Linked DNA regions of Tribolium castaneum. The protein of the gene in region 1 interacts with the protein of each later gene in a biochemical or structural test. Links are inferred from orthologs where the notes say so. Each region holds a gene or a part of one and is shown in the gene's direction. Other genes may lie near its edges.

Region 1 (4,585 bases):
ACTAGAATACTCTTTCAGTTAACAACATTTCAACAATAAAATAATCTGAAGTTTTGTATTGAGAAATGCCAAACACTTGTCAAAACTTCAGTACACAGGAGAAAAATCGTAAATTTTCACATTGTGGAAGATTAAAATCCATTATTGTTTATAAAGTCTAGTAAATCTACGATATGTGGCTAGTTTTCCCCTATTTCCAACATTTCCATTTTCTTTTTACTTATGTACACTTGAAAAATTTGAAAATGTCGTGTCAATAATTTCAAGCCCACACAAAAATGAATTATTGTAAAAAGTTTAGTAAAAACATGTATGTGGCTAGTTTTCCTCAATTTTCAACATTTTCCATTTTCTTTTTACTGAGTACATTTGAAAATTTTGAAAATGTGTCGACAAACCAACGAGCCCACGCAAAAATGCATTTGTTTTTTTGAAATATGATTGAATTATATATTAAATATTGAAATATGATAAAGTAAAATCTCAAGATAAGATTTATCTAAAAGAAATGTTGGAACTGAAGGCAAATGTATTTTTATTGCTAAGTAGGAGAAGAAAGCTCGATTAATGACATTTTCAACTTTTTCAGGTATACTTACGTACTTTCGATATTTATTTAACTTTATATCACTTGAAGGAGGTAATTTCTAATTATTATTACTTCATTTAGCTCGAATTTTTCTACAGAGTATGTCATTAAGTTCAATCAAGATTTCAAAAAAAATATACAAGGTGTACTCTAGTTTTTTGATTAAAAGTAGTGCATTATGAAATTATATTTATTATACCAACCGTCGGTTGGTGTTTTGGTTTTTATGGAAACACTCATATTTCTTATTTTCCATTTGGCTAAAAGCAGTGTTGCCAGATTCCCATTTTAAAGTACAATGTGTTTTTAAATGATTCCCATCTAGTCGTCTGTGAATTTCTCATGTAAAATCATTTAGACATTGAATATTACCATTCTTCATTTATTAAATCTCGAATTCGGAAATAAGCTTCGATATTGAAAGTGTTTTCTTGGACAGTGTAACAATTTAGTTGTATTTTAACAGAATTGTTGAAGGAAATTAATTGAATCTCACAACTTACAGATTTGACATTTGTTGACAGAGCGGCACAATTTTTTTACATGTAAACCAATTTCAAAGTTAACTAGATGACAATCATTTAACAACACATTGTACCTTCATTTGAGTCAATTCATTTTCTCTTTTAATTGTTGGAATTTTTTCGTAGGAAATTTGTCAATGTCATAAAGTCATAAAGTCCAAATCAGTGCCCTATTTCACTTCAAAAACGCTAATACGCTGTTGCCATTTTCTCTAAAGTTCTGTTTTAAAATGTTTTTAATTAAGAAATTAGATTTTTTGAGAAACAAAATTAAGGCGTAATTACTCTTGTCGCCTATTTAAAAACAGACAGACCGTTTAATTTTTTCATGCCCAAAATATGAAACATTTAATTTTTGGCACAGTAATAAAGCGCACTCATTAATAATAAATATTATTTCATCTGCTGTGCAGTTGGTAAGTTACCAACACACAAAAATGAGAAAAAAAGCGCAAACAAATGTGTGAAATTACATAAATGTTGGAACTAGAACCCATTCACAAAATTGTTCTTATCTAAAGATTTACGTTTTCATGGCCAACTATTATCTATAAATTATATTGAATGAACGAGAAAAAATGAATGAAATCTACAAATATTCGTCCAAATTTTTCCCCGTAATAGTTTTATCAAAATTTGAAAATGTTTGTTTAGGTGATTAGATAAAATCTCTACAAACTATTCACCTCTTTACATTTTCATGACCTTCTGTGTGGAACACAAAGATTTTTTCATTAACAAGCATTACTATAATTCTCATAAAATTTGAGTAATCAAAGTACTTTCATGGCCAACTGCTACAAGTAAGGTCAACGAATGATATCTCTTACTATGTAGTAAAAATAAATATTTGTAGCAATTTTTCACAGAAATTTCTCCTCCATATTATAAAGCGAAACACGTGTTGTGATTAATCATCAATTCATCACATAATTCTGGAAATCTAAGCAGCGTAATTACTTAATTAGTAATTAATCGTGGCATGTGACTTGGGAAATTTTCGTCAATTATCTTAAAAAAATGCCAAAATGCATGGTTTGGTTTAGATTTTTTTTTATAGCATAAATATTAGGAGGGTCAAAGTGTATCAGTGGTTGTTTTTTGTGTCATTGTACAATTTTCACAATTTTTTATCATTTTGAGGTTGTGAAACGTGATAACTTTTGGCCGCGTTGTCATCAATCACCAGTGCCACCTTCGATTGTAAAAATTTGATGATTTGACGGTTTTTCCGTCCCCTATTTTAATCAAAACTGGCGTTTTCTCGGAAAGCTTCTTTCACAAATGCCGCGTCTACACACGTGCCAACGCGTTTAATTAATCGTGTACTTCCCAGAACCGCGCACGTATATACATATAGATCATTCCCGGAATCGCACGTGACGCATTGCCAGCCAATCAGAACGCTCGATTCTGACTTGACCGACAGTTCCAGGTGTTGTTATCAGTATTATTGGTCGCTTTCCAAGTGGCCAATTGTAGAAGACTGACGGATGATATGGATAATGAGATTTCGGTGGCGTCCGGATCTATGGCTTATCGGGACCAAGACGAGTGGATTAAGATAAGCGCTCCACCTAAACCCGTTATCAGCAAAACGGTGGGCTCCTACGTCGAGCTCGAGTGCGAGGCGATGGGCTCGCCGCCCCCCACCCTACAATGGCTAAGAGGAAAAACCCCCCTTACAGAGGTATGCAAAAAATCGCGCTGCTTTTGACGCACACTGTACAAAAAATCCAAAAACGCGAAAAAATTTTTTAATGTAAATATTATTTTTTCGGAGAAAAATTAATGTTACGGTTGGCACCACTGTTTTTTTCTCACTTTAATTCTGATCTCAGTGTTTGTGTTTAAACTCTTATCAGACATTTTTTATTAAAACGATAATTAAAATTAAACACAATTTCAAAGCGTCACCTTCAAATAAACGTCATTAATTTATTTATTGATAAAACCAAACATTCAGCGTATTATTATTGACTTAAAGTCCTCATTATTCAAAAGCGCAAACACGAAACATTATGTCGTGGGCGAATTAACCGGATTATAATTGTTTACTCTCTATCAATAATTAACTGAAAACCACCCTCGCACGTGTATAATTGGTTGCCTACCTTCTAGCACCAGAGCTTTGAAAGCAACATGATTTCGGAAACCCCTTCTGAAGGACTCGGCAAAATCAAAGCTCGTCTCGTCATCAACTACCTCCTACCCGTCCACAGTGGCCGATTCACTTGTGTCGCTGAAAGCGGCTCCAAAATAGTAACTGCAGACAGCACCATCTACGTGATCAAAAAAGAAGGTAAAAACAGATAAAAAAATTATAAAAAAAATAGATAAGCTTATGGACGCCTTCGCCATTACCGTGTGCAAATTTCAATATACTCGGACGGATAGTTTGCGAGAAAATAAATTTTTCGTTTTTTTGTAATTTAATTTTTTATTATTAAAAATAATCGTGGAATTGTCATGAAATTTAATCCTGGGGCTTTAGTCACATCTTTGCCTCATTTATAAATTTTTTAGTTAGTTATGAATCCATTTTTTGGAAAAAAAATTTAAAAAAATATCAGGTGCAATGTTGGTTGCCTGCTTCAATTTTTCTAAAATATTTTTTACTAGAATTTAGTCAGCCAGTTGACATGGAATTTGGTCCCAACACTTGCAATTGCTTAGTTCGAGCTTAAGCTTTAGCTTACGTAAACTCGGTTTAAATTTAAACTAAGTTTAAATCGTAGTTTAGTCTGGAAATGGTGTAACGTTGGTTGCCTGCTTTAGGTTTCGAGCACAACTTTACTCAAGTGCTCACTACGAAAATCCTGGGGGCGCACCACGTGCCCCGGATATCCCTTTGGGCCCCCACCTACATGGACGTGATTGGAACGAATGTGATTTTGCCTTGTCGCACTTTAGGCAATCCTAAGCCGAGCCAAATGTGGATTGACCCTCAAGGGCAGATAATTGGCGAAAATGACCTTCGTGTGAGCGCCCTTCCTGACGGCTCGTTGAGCATTCGGTCGCTCAGTTGGGCTGATATGGGGGTCTATACTTGTGTGGCACGTAACATGGTTGGGCAAGACTCCGTTGAGACCTTCCTTTACCCCATGAAGGTACAATTTTGATTTTTTTTTTTGGTTTTGGTGATTATTTGACTAGGGATTGCAGGAGTCCAAATAACGAAACACAGGGGGCGCAACGAACGCACTTTATGTCAATCTAGTCAATGTTCAATTTGAAAATACTCCTAGGATAGTGTGGCCGTTATTTATGGAAATTCCATCTAGTATTTATGAGTTAGGTATTTATATGTGTAATAATTACAAGACCGCTGTACTTATTTATATTATTGTAAGGTTTGTAAGTAAATAAAGAAAATATCAAGCATTAAACCCACCCGAGCGTTTATTTATTGTTTCCTAACTGTATAAACTCAATAAAATTTCCTGAAATCTTAATCAAGTCGGCAGACGTC
Region 2 (2,940 bases), on another chromosome or scaffold:
TCTGTGTATCACCTATATACATGCTGACGTTTTGCAGCTTTTTTTGGTAGAGCTTGTTCAGTTTTTTTTTTTTGAAAAAGCAAATTTATTTTAAAATTCTCTTCATTAAATTCAAAAATAAAAAAAATCAAATAGGGTCAGCTTGAAAAAAGAACGCTTGCAGTTGCATTCGAAAAGTTAAAATATGAATTATTCTCTTAATAAAACTTGTATATTTTTTCAATCTATAAAAAATAAAAACATTAACAGTAGAGTATTTCTTACTGATTAGTGATTAATGATTTGGTACTCAAATTGCAAAAGGCTAAATGACTATTACCTACAACTTGAACTTTGGTTCTTAAAATGGTTAAAACCTTATTTTTCTAGTATTCTCAGTTTTTGTGTAATACATTTTTATAAAGAAGTAGAAACCTAGTATTAGAAACGACAAATAAAAGTTTCTGAAGATGTTTTATTAAAAAATACTTTAGTTTTGTATTGTAACTTTTTTTAGAAACTGAAAAAATTTATTAATTTTCGAGCCTTGGAATCTGATAAAAACAAATCAGTAAATATGTGTCTGCTTTTAATTTCATTCTTTTTATCAATTTTCTCTAAAATTTTAAACTATTCTTTGTTTTTATTTAGTTTATTTGTATGAAATACAACCCAATTTTGCAAATTTAATGATTTAAAAAAAACGTTTAGCAACTTACTTTTGTAATTTCATTATTGTATCAACGTTTGTTGAACTTGAACGATTATTTAGTGATCAAGTAAAAATAATGAACTGAAAGTTCGCTAATTAACACGAACACTTTTAAAACACTCGTTTTTTGAGCATTTGAGGGATTGTCCCTGGCAACTTTGAATTATCAACTAGTTAAAAATAGTATTAATTATTTTGTTGTTTAGATCCTCAAACCATTTTTTAAGGCCCTGGTTTTATTTAAATTAAGAGGTGAATTTTAATAGGTTATAAGTATAAACATAACAAGCTCAAAGAAAAATAAATTCTGTTTGAAGTTTTGTAATTTTCTTATTAGTTCCTTTTAGTGGAAATTCAATATGCGATATATTCTCTCATAGTAATTTCATTAATATGCACAAAATAGAGAGACAGAAAAGTTAACTAGAAGAGGATTTCTAGAACCTCTACAATCGAAGAAGATTATTTGATTTTTTGATTATTACCGTAATTTGATTTAGAATGGATTTTTTTCAAAAATTTATTGTACATCAAAAGTAGAACAATTACTCGTTGTTAATTTTTCAAATGTAGAATATTTAGGGCTGATTTACAGTACGTTTTAATCGTAATTAAATTTTAATTTCGCTTTCTGTATACCGACCCTTAATGTTTGAACATTATTTATTAGACATCAAAATTTTATTACATGATATTTTTCCGATAACAGTTTAATGACAACATGGAAAGTTCTTCGTAATATAATTTGTGATGATTGTATGTTATACCATAATTAATTCTCAGCAAACTAATTGACTTTTTATTCAGTCTTTGTTCACTATCTTAACCCACAACCCTTGTCTTTAGTGGCTTGGAAATAATTGTGTACCCATCTGTACTAAGGGGGTGTACATCGAACAAGACGTCTGACCTATATTTGCATAATTTTGTGTGATATTTTGGACTCTTCATGTAAACACTATTCCTATAAAAGCGAGAGTTTTGTCCGAAAATGATAGTTCGCAAACTACTTCCAGCAACTAATAAAGTAAGTTACTTGTTCCAAAACCCCAATAAAATACGTGTTTCAACAGATGGACAAACGAGTTCTGCTCTTCTTCTTCCTCATTAACATTATTTACGTCTGGTCTTCACCGCACATGGTCCACTTGATGAACAAACGCGAAATTTTCTGCGGCACAAAACTGGCCGAGACTTTAGCAATGCTCTGCAAAGGGAACTACTACTCTCCGAATCCAAACCCAACCAAAAAGTCGAGTAAGAATCGATTTTTTGTTATGTTGCGAGTAATAACACTTTTCCAGCCAATGATATTTTCGCCTACAACGAATACGACGAGTATTTCCCCAACGAGAGCGACGACGAAAATCAACTCGATTTTCCGTTCCTTCAAAAAGAAGCGGTCAATTCGTTTCTTCCAATCAGATTTCGGAGGACCAGAGTTGGGATTGTGGACGAATGTTGCCGGAAACCCTGCTCTCTCAAACACTTGAGTTTGTACTGTGGACAATAACTTAATAATAGTGCTCGTAGTTACGCTAAAAAATTATGATATTTTTTGTAAAAGAATAAACGATGTTGCATACACTTTGTAGTTTTATTCTTTTCGTTTTGAGTGATTTTTTTCCCAAGGTTGTTCAAAAATAGCCGCAGCTTCGCTGTTGTATCAGACATAAAATACCAAACCATCATGCGTTTAAAAATAAATTCGTTGTGACAATGTCGGCTTCCTGCAGTTGCTTGAAGTTGTGTTCAGTTGTGGTTGCTTTATCGAACCTTGTGAGTGCATTTTTTGTTTGATTAACCCTGGAATCGACTTTTCAGACCTTGGGCTTGTACATATTGGCCGAAGGAATTTTGCTGTTAACGAAATATTTAAACAACGATGCCGACGTGACGGTAGGTTTCGTCGTGGTGGATTTCCAAATGGCCTCGTTTCTTATTTTCGTTGGTCTGTTATTATTAATAGGTATCATAAAGGTTGGTTCATTTTGCGCGCGTTTCAACGCTCATTTTTCGATTTTTTAGGGGAAAGAGAAACATATTTCCTTGTATCTCTTGTTGAGTTCGCTGATTTGGTTTATTATAACTATGTTGGCGGTTAGTTACATGATTTTTTACAATACAACAGGGATGACTGTTGAGATACAACACAGTGTGGAAAATAATTACACGACGGCTGAACCAAAACCCAAAGAAACGGTTCCGATGGAAAAAGCTGTGGGATTTTCGCTTGGCTTGATTGCGAT

What was found.
Region 2: the proteins of ImpL2 (region 1) and LIRP-like form a complex in vitro, tested with the Drosophila melanogaster proteins (2 studies listed by BioGRID, with this or other methods). The link is inferred for Tribolium castaneum from reciprocal best matches to the Drosophila melanogaster genes ImpL2 and Ilp2.

What each region holds. Positions count from the first base shown.
Region 1 is NC_087401.1:8,465,014-8,469,598, reverse strand, and holds ImpL2 (ecdysone-inducible gene L2), read left to right. Parts: upstream 1-1,736; 5' UTR 1,737-2,542; coding exon of another isoform or gene 2,543-2,611; coding exon 2,612-2,803; intron 2,804-3,234; coding exon 3,235-3,415; intron 3,416-3,891; coding exon 3,892-4,223; intron 4,224-4,269; coding exon of another isoform or gene 4,270-4,278; coding exon 4,279-4,290; 3' UTR 4,291-4,495; downstream 4,496-4,585. UniProt on the Drosophila melanogaster protein: Essential developmental role during embryogenesis, in particular the normal development of the nervous system. May be involved in some aspect of cell adhesion.
Region 2 is NC_087402.1:11,374,427-11,377,366, forward strand, and holds LIRP-like, read left to right. Parts: upstream 1-1,564; 5' UTR 1,565-1,682; coding exon 1,683-1,718; intron 1,719-1,764; coding exon 1,765-1,948; intron 1,949-1,995; coding exon 1,996-2,204; 3' UTR 2,205-2,278; downstream 2,279-2,940. Other genes in the region: uncharacterized protein LOC103312864, read left to right, coding at 2,411-2,470, 2,516-2,671, 2,720-2,940. UniProt on the Drosophila melanogaster protein: Possible ligand of InR/insulin-like receptor. Plays a role in regulating body size by increasing cell size and cell number of individual organs.